Pelodiscus sinensis: one gene and its partner. Each later gene encodes a partner of the first gene's protein in a complex. Links are inferred from orthologs where the notes say so. Each region holds a gene or a part of one and is shown on either strand. Other genes may lie near its edges.

Evidence for each region.
Region 2: the proteins of RANGAP1 (region 1) and SENP2 are in contact, whole or in part, in a crystal structure (PDB 2IO3), measured with the Homo sapiens proteins. The link is inferred for Pelodiscus sinensis from reciprocal best matches to the Homo sapiens genes RANGAP1 and SENP2. Residues at the interface, in NP_001265580.1 of Homo sapiens: Glu467, Asn508, Thr511, Thr514, Arg515, Val518, His519, Leu523, Lys524, Ser525, Glu526, Asp527, Val529; in NP_067640.2 of Homo sapiens: Tyr408, His409, Trp410, Val477, His478, Asp495, Met497, Gly498, Gln499, Lys500, Pro536, His537, Gln541, Gln542, Asn544, Gly545.

What each region holds. Positions count from the first base shown.
Region 1 is NC_134711.1:89,277,303-89,286,507, forward strand, and holds the start of RANGAP1 (ran GTPase-activating protein 1), read left to right. Parts: upstream 1-5,739; 5' UTR 5,740-5,875; intron 5,876-6,529; exon of another isoform or gene 6,530-6,551; intron 6,552-6,636; exon of another isoform or gene 6,637-6,767; intron 6,768-9,205. UniProt on the Homo sapiens protein: GTPase activator for RAN. Converts cytoplasmic GTP-bound RAN to GDP-bound RAN, which is essential for RAN-mediated nuclear import and export. Mediates dissociation of cargo from nuclear export complexes containing XPO1, RAN and RANBP2 after nuclear export.
Region 2 is NC_134720.1:3,562,870-3,572,242, reverse strand, and holds the start of SENP2 (sentrin-specific protease 2), read left to right. Parts: upstream 1-5,595; 5' UTR 5,596-5,653; coding exon 5,654-5,754; intron 5,755-5,808; exon of another isoform or gene 5,809-6,051; intron 6,052-9,373. UniProt on the Homo sapiens protein: Protease that catalyzes two essential functions in the SUMO pathway.

The DNA of each region.
Region 1 (9,205 bases):
TATACCCCGTGGGTTATACTCATGCGCAGGGTATACAAGATTTTTTTAACTCAAAAAGCAAAAACCGCGGGGTATATTCGGGTGCAGGGTATATTTGGATGTGGGATATATTCGCTAAAAGACGGTAATACATGCAATTGGGAAGAAGTTCATGGGTTTGAGGACTTTTGATGACCCAAGCAATCTGGCTAGCTAGCTCAAGAGGCATTTGGGGCCTAGGGTATGGTAGGAGGTCATACAGATTCAGTGATAGACAAGTTGACACTGAATGACACAGGCTACTCAGATTTTCAGAAAAGTTAACTATAAGAGGAATGTCACTACCTCTTGAAATTCCTCATCTTCTCCTGACTAATCCCATTATAAAGCATTACAGGCAGTCCTCGATTTTCTAGTGAATGACACAACATATCTGAATTGATACCCCAATTCAACTTATGACTTTGTTTTTGACTTTTACGATGCTTGGTCCCACAATGGAGTGGATTGCAGTTCCTAGCTATGACGTTTCAACTTATGATGCAATTTTCAGGAACCAAATGTGCTGTAAATCTTAGGATTGCCAGTATTTGTTTAAAGTTGGTAACAAGTCTTTTTAAGATAATTAGCTTTTGCTGAATCCAAATATGGTTATTAGCATGCTGTAAATATGTATGTATGTATAAAGGTCTCTACAAAGGGAACAAAGGTGGATCTTAATGGGCTGTAGGATGTAATTAAAGTCATCCACTAATGTGCACAACTTTTTAATAGAACTATTGAATTTCAATGTCACAAGAGGCACTGGAAATATTGTAATATGTTACACAATCATGAAACAGCATGTTTAGCTGGCTCTTATAATTGCAGCACAGGCAACATGAAACATAAGTATGTACTTTGATTTAACTATCAGGAATCCAACACAATCTTGAAAACACTCATTTTTAAAATAAGTGAAAACATTTTCTTTACTAAACATGGAGATAACATTTTAATGCATACAAGTTAAGCACGTTAATATTGTACTATTTCAAGAAAACTTGGACCACAAGGGCAGATTGAATTAATGTCTTATTTGGTCATTTACTGTGACATACAGGCAGTCCCCAAGTTACGCGGATCCGACTTATGTCGGATCCGCAGATACAAACAGGGATTTTCTCGCCCCGGAGGACTGGAGCGGCGGGACGCCTGGTCCCGCCGCCCGCCTCCTCCGGGGCGAGAAAAGCTGCTCCCCATCTCCCTGGTCTGCTGCAGGAGCCAGCAGACCAGGGAGACGGGGAGCAAAGCGGCGCAGGACCCGGGGCCAGACCCGCAGCGCTTCCAGCTGATCTGGAAGCGGCCGCGGGTCCGGCCCCGGGTCCTCCGCCGCTTTGCTCAGCGTCTCCCTGGTCTGCAGCCGAGGAGCAGCTGCGCTACTGGACCAACCCAGCAGCACCCGAGCTGCTCTGCCCCAGGCGTCCCCAAGTTAGCCGCTGCTGAAACTGACCAGCGGCTGACTACAGGAAGCCCGAGGCAGAGTTGCTCTGCCCCGGGCTTCCTGGAATCAGCTGCTGATCAGTTGCAGCAGCAGCTGACTTGGGGACCCTGGGGTTCTTAAGTTGAATCTGTATGTAAGTCAGAACTGGTGTCCAGATTCAGCGGCTGAATCTGGATGCCAGTTCCGACTTACATACAGATTCAACTTAAGAACAAACCTACAGTCCCTATCTTGTACGTAACCCGGGGACTGCCTGTATTACATATTTGTTAATACTGGCCTTAAAACACTGAGGAACAGGTGCCTCCACACAATCTTGTTCCAGTGCTCTACATTTGCTATAAAAACAAGTCATTGCTGATTTACATACCGGCTGCGTCTAGACTGGCAAGTTTTTCTGCAAAAGCAGAAAACTTGCCAGCTGTCTACACTGGCCGCTTGAATTTCTGCAAGAACACCGACGATCTCATGTAAGATTGTCAGTGTTCTTGTGGAAATACTATGCTGCTCCCATTTGGGCAAAAGCCCTCTTGCGTAAATGCTTTTGACAGCAACTATAGCACCAGATCCTTGTTCTCCTATTTCCAAAGCACTCTATTTGGAAGAGGAAGTACTAGATTTGGGCAGTGGGTCTGTTTCCAAACTAGTGCTTAATAACAATCTCTATGTGGAAGAAAAGAGCGCCATCTGTTGGAAGTACAGGAGCTTCAGGGGGTAGCCGAGTTTGTCTGTTACAGAAAAAAAACAGCAAGCAAATGGTCTGGGAGCACTCTATAGACTAACAAAACATGTAGATGGTATCATGAGCTTCTGTGGGCACAGCCCACTTCTTCAGATGACCAGAGTTATGATTAGAGGATAAGGAAACTCAAAATAAATAGGAGAAGGGAAGGGGGGGGGGGGAAAGATGTTCTGTTGCCCACCCTCCTACCTCTGTGCATAAAGTATAGGGAGAAAGGGTGCTAAACCTGAGTAGATAAAGATCAATGTCTGTGGATAGATAAGGCAGGAAGGATACCATTCAGAAAGTAGTTAGCACCTTCATTGATAAAGTATAGTTACTGATAACCACAAGTACGTGAACAAAATGACATGTGCTTTGTCAGTGGTGACCTCTGGCAAGCTATACATCTTACAAAGAAACCTGTACTTTTAATCTTTTCTGAGTCCAGCTCACTCTGTCCAATGTGTGTTAAAGCCATGTAATCTTTTTGCTTGGTCCAGCAATAAAAGAGGTAGCATCACACCCACTCAGGGCATGAGATGGGAGCAGAGTTTCCAAAAGTGGCCCCATATTGTAGTTGCTCACACACAAATGGCATGACTAGGAAAGTACTTTGGTTCCTTTGATGTGCTAGTTTTCATCCAAAGTTGTCTATATGCCATTTTGCTATAGCGAGCCAGCAAAAGATTAAGCACATCAGAGCTCCTGACTTTAGCAACCACACTGATGGCATTCACCATGGAGACATTGTAAAATAATTCTTATGTCTGTTTCTTCCTGATGAGTACACAGCTGGTGGGGGTCAACTATTGCTGTCCAGCACCAGACTTCAGCTTCAGCCTGAAAACCACAAGTCAGAACAAAGATTTTATCTGGTGGTGCTTGTGTAATTAGTCGCTCAGATAAAAATATTGCAAGGTTTTCCTTACAGTTTCTCCCAATAGGGATAATTTTGGGTGGGCAATGGACACCAGCTGTCAGTATTGTTTTTGTGCTTGTTCTCAGACTGCCATTTCTCTATCCTAATGCCAAAAGGACAAGCATTAAATCATCTTTCAAAATTCGTTGCAAATTCACAGCCCAGATGGCTTCATACACTGTGATTAGTCACTGAAGAATATATTTCTGCCTCTCCTTCATGGTTGAGGCCTTTCCTTTGACCTCTTTCTCTGCCTCAAATATCATGGAAAAAGTTGCAGCATTATTCTTTGGCACTGGATCATGAACATATACACATCCAGGCTCCCCTTCTTGTGTCATAATCAGAGCTCCCTGTAAGCTATGTGCTTATGTGATTGCTCAGGAGAGATTCAAATGCTGCTCAGCTGAACAGCAGATCCACAGAGCTAGGCTACATCTACACTGCAGGCTTCTTGCGCAAGAACTGTTTTGCGCAAGAGTGTCCATTTTTGCACCAAAAATTAAAAATCCTGTGCCAAAAAATAAAAATTCGACATACAATATTTTAAAATTCTCCAAATTGTATTTGTTAAAATAACACCATATAATTATGCCAGTTTCAATTATTTGGTAATTTATTTCAAAATATCTGTCAGCAAATATGTCTCTAATAATATGGACAAAAAAAAGGATTTTTTCAAACAAATAGATTCCTGAAATTCCTAGGCAAATTAATAAGGAACTTCAAGTAATTCATTTAAGCTACAATATAGAAAGGTATTTCCCACACCCCTCAGAAGCAATCTAAAGGCTTTGCGGAATCATAAGTAGCATAGGAGGTGAGGGAGATGGAAGGAGCCTGGGAGTGAACTTGGAGGGTTATTGGTGTGGATGGAAGAAGTATAAAACTGTTTTTTTGGGGGAAAGTATGTTAGGGAGAATCCCACATGCAGATGCTGACTGACCCCATCCCATTCAATCAGGCACATCTGCCCCATTCCTCCCCCAGTTCCCATGCATCCCTACAGTCCCATCACCCCCATCCTCATCTGTCCTGGCAGTCCTCTACCTCCAGTCACCATGTAACCCTACAGTCCCTTGCTAATCAACTCCTAACTCAATGTTGTCACCCCATAAGCACCTATGCCCTTGCCCCAGTCTGTGATTTCTCTCTCCCCCCATATTCTGTGTTTCCTAATCTGTCTCCATGAGCAGGATGGTGTAATGAATGTAGCAGGGCACGCCCACTAGTGCAGAATTCCTCCAGGAGTACACCATTCAGTTTTGCCAGATGGACTCAATCCTGTCAATGGCTTTTCTGTACTTGACATCTTGTAGTTTCTTTCTTTTACACAATCCTTGTTCACCTATTTCATGCACATATTATTTACTTCAAATACTTCACAAATAACAGAGACTGTAGAAAACCAGTAGATATCTCTTGAGCCTTACTACTGGTTCCATATCTACTTACAACCATAATCAATAAGTATCATAACACATCACCTCATCTAACCACTCTTTCTTGATGTCTTTGTAAAAAAAATGCCATTAGTATAATTTCTGTGTTAATTCTATTTTAACAACAAACCATTGCATGCTATAAAACAAATATAAAGTGTGCACAGAAGTGAGAAAATGCTTTCACATATTACAAGAAAAATAATCTGATTTACTTATAACATTGTATGAACAAATACTATCAAAAGTTGAGCATCAGGGTGTAGTAAGTCTTAAAACCAGTCTGACTTCTCATTTCTGTTCTTTATAGACTGATAAGAGAGTATGTCATGTTGAAGTTGCCATGTCAGTCCCACGATATTAGAGAGATAAGGTAAGTGAGGTAATAATGTCTTTTACTAGACCAACTCCAGTTGGTGAGAGAAATAAGCTTTTGAGCTACATACACAGAGCTCTTCTTCAGATCTGAGGAAGTGGGTCTGGCCCACGAAAGCTCATCATCTAATAAACCATCTTGTTAGTCTTTAAAGTGCTACATAGTCCTGTATTTTGTTTCAGCTACACCAGACTAACACGGCTACATTTCTATCACTGTGTTCACTTGAACACTTCTCTCTTTTAACAACAGACATTGGTCTGTTAGTGAGTCACACTCATCTCTCTAATGACTTACATCAAAGCATTTAATTGCATCCCAACACGTCCATGCACATGCTGTGTGTGTACCAAATGTTTCTGGTAAACTTTGACAGTCGCATGGAGCTGCAGGACTTGCAAGTTCAAAGCTTGGCAACCATCCCAGCTGTGGAACCGGCAGGTTCAAACGAGAATGGAAATAGCTGCTACCCACTCTGAACGAAAACCGCAACAAAACTCCTAGTGACGCACAGCCAGGTACCCACCAGGCCTCTGACCTCCGATTCTGCCTCGCCTGCCCGCCCTCTCCCTTTTAATAGCCGGCGCTGCGCGAGGCATCCTGGGAACGATAGTCCACGCCGCGTTCTTCTCTTGTGGAACTACAATTCCCGGCCTGCTCCACGGCACAGCGAGCCCCCAGCGCAATGCATCACGGGGCTCGTAGTCTTCTCTGCCGCGCATCAAACCTCACCAGGGTCTCCAAGGAAACCACAATTCCCAGCATGCCGCACGGGGAAGAACTGTCGCCTACGCCACCGCGACGGGCGGGCGAGAGGCCTCGCGAGCCAATCAGAGCCGGGAAAACAAAACTGCCGGGTTTGAAATCCTCCGCCTCCCCCTGCGCCATCGGCCTCGGCGTGACAGGCTGGAGCCGGGCGCGTCCGACCCACACCCGACGGCAGCGCGCGCAGGTGAGCGGGCCCAGGGGCCGCGCGGCTTGTTTACTGTAGGGTCGCCAGGAAGTTGGCGGGGTCGGGGAGCGGGATCCTGACGCTTCTCCAGCCCGGTGTGCGCGGGGCCCCTCCTGGCGCAGCGCCCCGGCGGGGTTTCCCAGCGCCTGTGCGGGGGCGTCCCCTCCTGGCTGCCCCCCGACTCGGGGGCGGGGTGGGGGGTGCCCCGGGCGTCTGGTCCTGCGCCCCCTGCCCGCCGCGCCACGCGCTCCGGGAGCCGAGTCCCGCCCGGTTGCTGCGTGGCCCGGCCCAAGCCGCGCTGCTCTTGTGGCTGCCGCTTCCCCTGGGCTCGGCCGCCGGGCCGGGCGGGTGAGTGACTCTGTGCTGCGCAGCCAGGCTTGTTGCATCACTGAGGCTCGCTGGGGCAGCCTCACCTGGCGCGTCGCGCCCTGAGTACATCGCCAGGGAGCCGTAACCGCAGAGAGCAGCCGCGGAAGTCGGGGGGAGGGCGGTCGGAGTGTGTCACCGAGCAAGCAGCTGGGCAAACAGCTTCCTGTGGTGCTGTAGCCTTGTGGGTCCCAGGATATTAGAGAGACGGAGGAGTGTGTGTGTGTGGTAATAGCTATTATCAGATCATCTATTAGTGTGGCTATCTCTGCACTACAGATTGCTTCAGTATAACTTATGTCATTCTGGGGTGAGTGTGATGGGTTGGGCAACCCTCCACCTTGGGTCTGTCGCCTGAGGTGCTGAGACATCACAAAGCCTGTTTTCCCTTACAGCTGTGAGCCTATGTTGTTGAGCCTGTCTCTTCAGCCTGTTGCAGCACAGGGACAGAGCCACCCCCCCCCCCCCCCCAAATCTGCAGACTCAGGAAGCAGTCCAATGTGAGACCATTCCCAGCACTAGGGATGTAAGTGACTAGTCAGCTACCCGATAAGCATATGCTTATTGGGAAGTAGAGTAGTGATGTGAACCTGTAGTTGCTGTAATGTAGACATATCCTGAGAGAGAAAAACTTCTGAGATCACTTAGGCCACTCATTAGTCAAAACTGAGCTAAGAATTAGGGATGTAGAGGGTTAATCAATTACCTGGCAAGCATTGCCCTACCGGTATATTTACCGGGGTAACCAGTTGACTGGCCAGAGCAGCCCCTGCCCACGGCGCACCAGGCTGGGGCCTGGCTAGGCTGAAGCAGCCTCATGATGCAGTGTAGCAGGCCATCCGAGGGGCTGCTCAAGTGTCCCCCTCTTTCTCCAACCCACCCCCCCCGCCTGCAACATATAGTCAACCAGTTAACATATAGTTTAATTGGTTAACATTTTAAATGGGATTTTACAGCCCTACTAAGAATCCACAAAAGCCTCGTGTGCAATTACCAAATGAAGAAGAATTATCTAATATAGTATGAAACATATTCAAGCAAGATCAGAAGACTGAGTCAATCAAAGTAGGGGTGTAATAGTACAGGCAGTCCCCGGGTTACGCGGCTCCGACTTATGTCGGATCTGTACTTACGAACGGGGCTTTTCTCGCCCCGGAGGGCGCGGGCGGCGGGACTGCCCAGACGCGCCTCGGTCCCACTGCCTGCGTCTCCCTGGTCTGCTGGGGGGGGGATGCAGCTAGTGCGCCCTCCCCCCCCCCCCAGCAGAGCAGGCTTTTCTTGCGGACGCCTGTGGTAGAGCAGCTGGGGCCCTGCTGGTTGGTCCCGCAGCGCCGCTCCTCGGCGCTACTGGACCAATCCAGCAGCACCCCAGCTGCTCTGCCCCAGGCGTCCCCAAGTCAGCCGCTGCTGAAACTGACCAGCAGCGGCTGACTACAGGAAGCCAGAGGCAGAGTTGCTTTGCCCTGGGCTTCCTGGAATCAGCTGCTGATCAGTTTCAGCAGCAGCTGACTTGGGGACACCTGGGGTAGAGCAGCTGGGGTGCTGCCGGTTTGGTCCCCGCAGCGCCGAGGTGCGGCGCTGCAGGGACCTACCCGGCAGCGCCCCAGTTGCTCTGTCCGAGGCATCCAGATTCAGCTGCTGTTGAAACTGATCAGTGGCTGATTCCAGGAAGCCCGGGGCAGAGAAACTGTGCCTCAGGCTTCCTGTAGTCAGCTGCTGGTCAGTTTCAGCAGTGGCTGAATCTGGACGCCAGTTCCGACTTATGTACAAATTCAACTTAAGAACAAACCTACATCCCTATCTTGTTCGTAACCTGGGGACTGCCTGTATGGTCGATTAACCAATAAGCAAAAGCTTATAGGTTAATGCTATAGACTACATGCGTTTCCCTCCCCCCACACTTACCAGTACATGTTTTAGCAGACTTACCAGCAGCTCAGCTCAGTTCTGGCTCACACCGGGTCCAGTACCTGCTCCTGCTGCGGTTCTTTATTTGAAGTGTATTAGGAGCCAGGCAAGCAAGCAGCCTGGTTCAGTTCCATCTTGTGCTGAGTCCAGGAACTCAGACCCACCTTAGACAGGGGTTGCTGCCACCCCACGCTGCTGCCTCTTTATTAGAGGCAGCAGCACTGGACAACAGGCAGCTGGACTTCAAGGTGAACTGGTTTTTAAACTGGCTCCCCTCATGGACCAGCTCCTGCCTGACACCCTGCACTGCTGCCTCTGATACAGTGACTGCCAGCCCCACCCCTGGGGACTATAGAATAATCAACTAACCAATAAGAATTCATGAGGTTACTCAACTATTCAATTAACCAATATTTAACATCCCTAAATCCAAGAGAATCTTAGACTATTCCACTGCCTGACGTGGTAAATTTTGCACAGTCCATCAGGAAAAAAGGTGGAAAATCGCCACGTTGCTTGTTACAGTTACAGCTAGACTGGATAAGTACCAGAGATGTGATAATGTAAATATGTAAAAGCCTGGGTTTATCAGTAAAACTTCACGATTACACATAACCCTCCCCGGGTGCTGCTTCTGTATCCGTCGAGCCGTCCTTCCCCTCCCTGGTATAAATGTGTACCCATACACATTTACCAAAATAAATACATTTTAACTTCCCTAGTAAATAATAATGTACAATGTAGTTGCTTTTGTATTCTGCACCCATGTAGTCTCTGTGATAGGTATTCAGCAACTAAATCTGATAGTAAAACGATGCTGATACGTGAGTACCGGGTGGGTTGCAAGGGAAAAGGAAAAAAAAATGTGTTTAACTCTGGCTCAGAGGAAGAGCAACTCATAGGATTGGACAATGGCTTGTGTTGAAAAGCCATGGTTTTTGGGGAGAAAGGAATACTGTATTGTAAACAGAGTAATGTCTTAAGGCAGCGTTTCCCAAACTATGGTCCGCGGCCCGAAAAAAATGCCGGGCCTCAGCGTGCCTGGTGGCTGCTGGC
Region 2 (9,373 bases), on another chromosome or scaffold:
TATTAGATGATGAGCTTTTGTGGGCCAGACCCACTTCCTCAGATCAAACTATTTGATCTGAGGAAGTGGGTCTGGCCCACGAAAGCTCATCATCTAATAAACCATCTTGTTAGTCTTTAAAGTGCTACATTGTCCTGCATTTTGTGATGATTAAGATTTTCATTATGCCTCATCATATCTGACTTGGGTGTCTAGGTGGAGGCCCAAGCTGCATTGCTATAAGGGAACTGGCCCTTAGCCTCTGTGTAACCAGTAAGGTATTATCATACCTGCTTTGTGCTGGGTTGGTATGCCTAAGTATTGGAATATCCACTAGCTCTGGGAGATTGCCTGATCCATTCTTTACAGTTTGCCCTAATTGAATAACCTAAGAATGACTGCTCAGGGACCCCGATCACAACAAGGTTTGCCTTGGGAGGTATCATGTGAAAACTCACAATCTGATGATCGTTATTGTCCTGGTCAAATATATGCAGCACCGTTGTATGTAAAGTTATGAATTCCACTGTATGGTGCTATGTTCCAAGCCTGGGGAGAGGCAAAGCAGTTCCTCAGAGATAAGAGCAACCTGCAACTCAGCCAGGTGTAAACAAGATCAAATGGGCCATAACCTGCAAAGTGGCTATTCATTGGCAGGAAAAGGGACGTGAGTGAAAAAAATTGACATCTTAACAAGGGAACAGCATGATATTTCCATCTTCACAGTCTATCTATCGCCACTGTCCCAGCTAGAGATGCTTCTGAAAGGAAGGAGAGGACTATAAAACGGAGGGGCAGACCCCCCAAAGGATCCCCACTCCACTTCAGTCTTGATTTTTCACACGTCTGGTCACTCTAGGTGAATGACATGGAGCTGCAGAAGGCACAGACGTGTGGGCTGAGGGCAAGACACAGAATTAATGAATTAGAATGTCAGGGTTTGGGGGAGAAGATGGAAGCTCCGGGCCAGGGGGTAGGAGCGAGAGCCTCCACAGGAGGCAGAATGCCTGAGAGAGCTGGCAGCATGACAACTATCACACGCACTCAAAGGAGAGCAGGCAGCATGACACTGTCTCGGACACACGCTCAGGGGGAAATGAAGTTCGAAAAGGAAAAGACAGACTTAAGACCACACTTTAATCTTTGTAAATCCAGGTCTGGCTTTGAGGGTCAATGTTGTGATTAATGAGGGGCTCTGAGGGTGTGTCTAAACTACATGGCTCCGTCGATGGAGCCATGTAGATTAGGCTGATCGGCAGAGGGAAATGAAGCCGCGATTTAAATAATCGTGGCTTCATTTAAATTTAAATGGCTGCCGTGCTGAGCCGACAAACAGCTGATCAGCTGTTTGTCGGCTCAGCACGCTAGTCTGGACGCTCCCGCGCCAACCTGAAAGCCCTTTATCGACCTCCCCATTATGCCTCGTAGGATGAGATTTACTGGGGAGGTTGATAAAGGGCTTTCATGTCGGCAGGGGAGCGTCCAGACTGCCCCGATCTGCCGACAAGCAGCTGATCGGCAGAGCAGGGCAGCCATTTAAATTTAAATGAAGCCGCGATTATTTAAATCGCGGCTTCATTTCCCTTTGCCGAACAAACAAATCTACATGGCTCCATCGACGGAGCCATGTAGTCTCGACGTACCCTGAGTGTAGGGCTACGTCTACACTGGTGGCTTCTTGCACAAGAACAGCTGTTCTTGTGCAAAAACTTGCTGGGTGTCTACACTGCACGTGCGTTCTTGTGCAAGTAAATTTACAGACTCGAGTCAGAAAACAGGGCTTCTTCTGGAAGAGTTATTCCTCTCCCCACGAGGAATAAGCCCTCTTGCGCAAGAGGGCAGTGTAGACAGGCAACATGAATTTCTTGCGCAAGAAACCCCTGTGGCTAAAATGGCCATCAGAGCTTTCTTGCGCAAGAGAATGTCCACACTGCCATAGATGCTCTTGTGCAAAAGCACATGCCAGTGTAGACATGCTCTTGTGGAAGACTTTTTGCACAAGAACTCTTCAACATAACAGTTCTTGTGCAAGAAGCTGCCAGTGTAGACGTAACCCTTAGGAGTTTGAACTTTTGGGGCAGGCTATGCAGAGGATAGGAGCTAAGCAGAGAATATTCAGAGCAGAGTCCTGAACAAGGGGAAAATCTGCGTGTCCTGAGTGACTGAGCAATATTTGTTCCTGAGGTTTTTAACCTTATAGTTGTTTATATTTTTTGGCCTCTTATTTTAGCCCTTCAGTTTGCTGACTTTTCAGTTGGCTTGGTCAGGTTCAAAGGTCAATAGGGGCTTCACCTGACATGGCTGACTGAAAAGACAATAACAGCACTGAGGAAATGAGATCAAAAGCCTGTCAGAGGTTGTCCGTATCGCCTGGCACTCCCCGCTTCCCATGAGCAGGGATTTGAAAGCTGGAAAAGAAGGGATTAACTGAATTAAGGCTGCCTGGCTGCTGGATGGTGAACACAGCTGATTGAAAGGGAATAGAGGCTGCTACTTTGGAGGGAGGGAGGAGAGGCTTTATAAGAGGTTCAGCTGCTTGGGAGGAGCCTTGGCCACAGGCCTTCTGTAGAAGTGAGTTTGGAAGCAGGTGCTGTGAGTAATTGCAGGGGTGGGAAGTAAGGTGGCTGAGCAGAGCAGAAGCCAGGCGTGGTGACTCAGCTGCCAAACTTACAGGGTCTCTTGGGTGATGCTCCATGCAAACTATGTAAGGAACTGATTTGTGTAGAACCACACATTTGTAATATCAACAGTGGGGTAATGTAGGGCAAGCTTGCAGCAGCTGTGACCCTGCCAGAGAATTTCATCTTTCTTCCCCTTGGTAGGTATGGGAAAGGGCTTACATTATGATGGCTGGGGTCATCTACTCTTCATGGCCTCTCTGCTGTATCGGTCAAGTGGTGGGAAATGTATGTGTGGGTGGCAGGGAGGGTTCTATGCTGCAGGATCTCCCTTCATCTCTGGCCAGCAAACAGCCAGTTGAGGAGAACATTTTATAATCCCTCCTGAACTGGGCTAGATTCAAATTGGTGTCCTACAGGGGAAAAGTTCTGTGGGTCATTAGCAATATTTCATGAGCATTTCCTAGCTTGAGTGAGTGACTTTACAACCATTTGTTGGTTTTTAATTTTTTTTTCTGTTACAGACTAACACAGCTACCCCTGTGAACCTTCCTAAGTTCTTTTAATGCAGCTTGTCAATGTAATGCCTTGGCTTTTCTTGCAGTGAAAAGGTAAAAAAAATCCATTAAGTGCAACTGTAATCCCACCACCCCCAGCATGTTGGTTTGGAGCCACACCTGTTAACGTTGATGGCTGTTCCTTGGGCTACCAGGTTTTGCTGGCTGGGAGCAGGAGGCTGTTCTTATGTGAGCCTGCATTAGAGGAGGATGCATAATCAGCTGTTTCAGTGTGTTATGTAAGCATGAATAACCCCAATTTACAGACTGCACAGTTAAGGAAAAAGATATGCCCTGTGCTTTCTGAGAGGAAATTTGGGTTGGCTGTATTCATATTCCTGGGTTCTATCTCCAGCTTAGGTAATCTCTTTGAGGGATATGTTTAGTAACAACTGGGAAGGAGAGCCACTTATCAACAGTCAGTGGAAATGAAATTGGAACACATGCATGCCTGCCTTCCAATATGATGCACATCCTCCTACGCCAAAGGCTGTTTTAATAGGGAAGCAACACCAGGATCATCGTCCATTCTCTTATTGGGCATATGAATTCTGTGATCCAATGAAGTGAGACGTTAGGGCAATACAGACAGGAAGATCAATGGCGTTGAGGTATTTTAATATGGTGACAGAGAGCTGTGATGGTAAGTTACAATCTTCAGCAGTGTAGAACTTGTCACAAATCGGAATGGATATTCCTAAGGACAGAAAAATGCATCTCTCCTTGCCAGACCTCTCTGTCCTGCTGCATACCAGCTCTTGTCCACTTTTCATACAGAAAGTGTCAGGCGCTTACCAGATCAGGCTGAAAGATCACTCCTTAAGGCTAGTATATTCCATTGCTCAGCCATGAGCAGGAGACCTGATTGTACGCATCACTGGTATGCTACACCCTGTAGTGGAGAACTGCTAAATTAGCTGCTTGTATATTGCAAAGTAGACTGATGACGCACAGGGACTCTTGCTGCACCTCTTGTCCGTCATGTCAGCTGTGCGATAGAGAAGCCTTGTTACTTAAGCACCTCTAAAGGTCTCAGGAAAACAGAGAAGCAACAGCCCATCCATGGGTAAATTTGTAATGTTCAGAAAAGGTATTTTATTTTTATTTTTGGCCCGCCCCACGTCCATATAATGAAAAGAACTTGTACTTTCAGATTTTGAGGGCTATGCCTAATTGAATAGTAGAAGTTGTTTTGAAAAGGTGAACACATTTTACATAGCTTTTGAAATGGGCTTCAAAACTAATTTTTGAAATTGTGAGTTGAGTGAGGTAATCTTTTCTTGGACCAATGTTTGCTTGGCAGAGGGAGATGAGGTTAGGATCTCACACACAGCTCTTCCTCAGGTCATTTCTGAAGTGTTTAACATTTTTTGTCCTGCTTAGTCACAAAACTGAAGACTTTACCAAGTACCTTCTGGTATGGTGCCCATCAACAATTTGTGTGTATTGCTCAGGTGTGGAACCACCATGAGCTCTGTAAATAACAAACATGCTAGGGAGGGTGAGGCATGAACCCAAGCAATGGGCAGCACTCCAGCACTAGAAGGTAAAATGTTGAAGGTGAGCAGTAGCTGGAAACCAGGAATGAATCTTTGCTGTTGAAATTGATGGAGGAAACAGCTGGTGGAAAACAGAGGGGTGGCTTTTTTTTGGGGGGGGGGAAGAGGAGAAAGTGTGAAGTGGTGTGTTGGTGGGAGAGGGCATTGCCAGGGTAAGGAGTGGGGGTGTGTGTGCTGTGAGGGAGGGATGTGTTTGTGGTGGGTGTGCTGGTCACGGGAGGAGGGGTGTTTGGGGGGGTGCTGGTCAAGGGAGGAGGGGTGTTTGTGGGGGTGGAGGAGGGGCTGGTCAGTGGGGGAGGGGTGTGTGGGGGTGGAGGGGGTGCTGGTCAGTGGGGGAGGGGTGTTGGGGGGGTGCTGGTCAGTGGGGGAGGGGTGTTGGGGGGGTGCTGGTCAGTGGGGGAGGGGTGTGTGTGGGGGTAGAGGGGGCTGGTCAGTGGGGGAGGGGTGTGTGGGGGTGGAGGGGGTGCTGGTCAGTGGGGGAGGGGTGTGTGGGGGGGTGTGCTGGTCAGTGGGGGAGGGGTGTGTGGGGGTGTGCTGGTCAGTGGGGGAGGGGTGTGTGTGGGGGTTGCGGGTGGTGTGCTGGTCAGTGGGGGAGGGGTGTGTGTGTGGGGGTGCTGATGGGGGTTGTGGCACTAGCGAGTGGCAGGGAGCCGGGTCGGTGCCTGGCGGGGGCGGAGCCCGGCTCGCCCCGCCCACCGCCATGAGACGCGCGCTCCTCCGCCAAAGGTGATGCAGAGACGCGCGCGGCGCTCGGTCCCCGCCCCTCCCTTTTCTCCCCCAATCAGGACCGAACAAGCCTCTGGCCAATGAGGAAGGGGTCGGGCGGGTCCCCGCGCGCAGGTAGCGCCGATTCGCCCCGCGCCTGCTGGAGAGGGCTCCGTCCGTGACGTCACGCCGTCGCGCGAAACAGCCGCACTTCCGCCTCCGGTGGCCGAGGCCTATGTACCAATGGCTGGTGGAGGCGCTGCGCTCCCTGCTCTTCCCCAGCGCCCCCCGGCGGGACGCGCCGCCCCCCGCCCCGCGGAAGAGACGGCACCACAGGTCAGCCCGCCCCGCGGCGCGCGGTGCTCGGCCGCCGGGGCCCCGATCCTGAGCGGCGGCGCTCGCGTGCCGGAGCCGGGCGCTGCTGGGGGGCCTGGCCGCGTTCGGCCTCAGGCACCGCGCGGGCTCGGCTTCCCCGGCGGCTCCGCGCTCCCCGGGGCTGGGGCGAGCGGCTCGGCCCGCGCTGGGTGTCTCCTCCTCCTGGGGCCTGCGAGCGCCCCGCTCCACTGCCCTTCGGTCCAGAGGGCTCACGGTTTGGGGCAGAGAGGCGTGTCGCGCTGGCCAGTCGCTCCCTGGGTGAGCGCTGCTAACGGGGGGATCCCCACAGTCGGAGAACTTGGTAAAAACGTTTTTCCGGAGCCTGAAGCCACCAGAGACTCGCTGTAGTTTTGTTCTGGCGCTTGTTCAGGTCAAGCCTCAGGATTTTTGTTTTGGGGCATGTAGTTCTGGGTGCTGTTTCATACAGAATATGAGCTTAATGGGCCAATAGATGAGGTTGGGTAGAAGTGGTAGATTAGTTGTGCTGTCCAAGATTCGATTTGTGAGTTGCTTATTTTGGAATATTTTGCAGTTAAATCTATTAAAAAGAATACTTCATGTGAAACCTCAATAGTTTTAAACTAAAGCCGGTGTTCCCACATTTAAGAACTTGAACAGGAATTCTCTGTTGCCTCCTGAAGCAAAATACAGGACAATGTAGCACTTTAAAGACTAACAAGATGGTTTATTAGATGATGAGCTTTCGTGGGCCAGACCCACTTCCTCAGATCAAATAGTGGAAGAAAATAGTCACAACCATATATACCAAAGGATACAATTTAAAAAATGAACACCTATGAAAAGGACAATCAAATTTCAGAACAGAAGGTGGATGGAGAGGGGTGGGGGAAGGTAAATGTCTGTGAACTAATGGTATTAGAGGTGGTGATTGGGGAAGCTATCTTTGTAATGGGTAAGATAGCTAGAGTCTTTGTTGAGACCCCCACATAGAGTGTCGAATTTTAGCATGAATGACAGTTCAGAGGATTCCTTTTCAAGTGCAGCTTTAAAAGGGATTTAAAAGTGCCTCCTGTCGTTCTATACATTATTTTGAAAAGTTTTCACTCCCTCGTTGTTTGTGCGACCCAACAAATAAAAGTAGACACTGATTGTACAGAGGAAACTATGACACTGAATTGCATACAGTGCTGTCAAACACAAATGGTACAGTTGTGAAAGTGTGTGGGTGGAGGGGTGGGGTTGTACATCAGTTATAATCTTAGATTTTAAATGGGAAATGATCTGACGTGAGTTGGAAATTAATGGTGTGACTGACTAAAAGTGTTAGACTGCTGGTCTCAAACTATTTACTTGAGAATTACGTAATATTTGTTCCTCCTTTTTTTTTTTCTGATAAATTTTGGTTGTGGTCTTCCACCTTGATGCTCCTTGATCATCTTTACCCTTCAGAAACATACTTGATTAAACTATTAGTCATCCTCTTTCTACTCCCACTCCTGCAGTGAACCATGAAGAAAATCTGTACAGGAGCTTAAACACTTTGATACCATGCACATAAGGCTAATTATGTAAAAAGTGATGGGCAGTATGAGAAACTGAATTATTGAAGTTAGAGAAACAAAAGACTCTGAGATTCATAGGATGGTATCTAGCACTTCAGTCTGTTTGTTTTAAATCTCACAAGAGGGGACTTCTGAAATAGCAGTGTCAAAAGCTTTCTTTCTGATATTCATACTGAACTTTGTTTAATTTCATCCTATTTATTGCAGTTATATTCTCTTGTACTGCTCATTCTCCTTTTATTTTCAGTTTTCCAGTATCTGAAAGGTTTGAGCAAATCTGCCTGCTTGGGTGTCTTTTGCAGTATTACTTATTTAATAGGGAAGATTAAAGTTTTTTCCCAAGCTTCCTCTAACTTACTGCTTAATCAGTTTTGTGTACTGCTTCCTTCACTTTGTCCTTTTAGCATTACCCTAGGTTCATGGAGGTATACTTAGCTTGCCTATTTATTTTGAGATAAGGTTCCTACTAGACTTCAGAGAACCAACTGGTGCATGAACAGGAGCAAACTATAACTGGGAATATTATTTTATGTTCACTGTTTATACTTGCTCAATAACTTGATTTTCACAGACTTTGCAGATTATTTCATAGCTTGATTAGAAAGTAGGGGCATAACAGGATAATCATTTAAACAGTTAACCGGTAACCCTGGGATTATCGGTTACTGTAAACGGTTACACTCATGTTGTGCTCCCAGGAGCTGGCTGCTGCCCTCCACTGCTGCCTCTGATACAGTGGGAACTTCCCTTCTTTTCTTCCTTGCCACTCTGTCAGTTCCCAGTGCAACAAATGTATCCCTCAACTCAGTTTCATTACCACTAGGTGGTTTCTTCTTCTGCCTTGTCCTCATGATGTTTTTCCACAGATTACCATCCTCTTCTGGCAATTTGCTCTCCAGCTCTTTTTGTTCAGCAGATATCTTTAGATCTTGTGGTGTTGGTACCGATTCATCTTTCCTCTCCTGCATTATACCTAGACATGCCTGTCTGAATTCTGTCATCCCGGTTACATTTCAGTTCCTTGGATATCTTCTCCCATGAGCTGTATCTGGTGACATTTCATACACATAAACAGCTTCTGTCAGATACCTACTCAAGCATAATGTACATACTGTAGCTTCTGTCTGACCACCTTTTTTTCCTCTCTTCTAATGCTATCTCATAGCCATTGTTGTCTTTTATTCTTAGACTGTATTTCTAGAAAAAATAAAGGGGGGGGCAGACCTCCCACAAATTCCAAGAAAACTGCTAGCTGTTCGCTGTCTCAGAGAGACAAATATTTGTTGTGGGCTGTATTTGTTAAATGGTTTTGTTTGTGCATATATAACACTGAAACATGGGCTGCTTATGCCTATCTAGTGTCAAAACACTTGGTTATGTGTCCTTCTCTGGTGGGGCAGCCCACATGTCTGTGTCTAGACTGCATCCCTTTTCCGTAAAAGGGATGTAAATTAGACATATCGCAATTGCAAATGAAGTGGGGATTTAAATCCCCCCCGCTTCATTAGCATAAAAATGGCTGACGCTTTTTTCCGGCTCTGAGCTTTGCCGGAAAAAAGCGCCAGTCTAGACACGGATCTCTCGGAAAATAAAGCCTTTTCCAAAAGATCCCTTATCCCTCATTTTAAGATCCCTTAAAATGAGGGATAAGGGAATCTTAAAATGAGGGATAAGGGATCTTTTGGAAAAGGCTTTATTTTCCGAAAGATCCGCATCTAGACTGGTGCTTTTTTCCGGCAAAGCTCAGAGCCAGAAAAAAGCGGCAGGCTTTTTTATGCTAATGAAGCGGGGGGAGAGGGGCTGGAGGGATTTAAATCCCTGCTTCATTTGCAATTGCGATATGTCTAATTTGCATCCCTTTTCCGTAAAAGTCTAGATACAGCCCATGAGTTTTCTGCTCCTGTCAGCTAATGTACTTAATCATCTAGCTAAAGTGGCAGAGCTCTGTGCTGATGGGTTTAAACCCCAAGGCTTGAAAGAGGAAGTGAGGAAGGGCTTAGTTGCAGGTAATTTATTTTTCTGGGGGTTTTTTTAGTCTCTCTTTTTTTATAAAACCG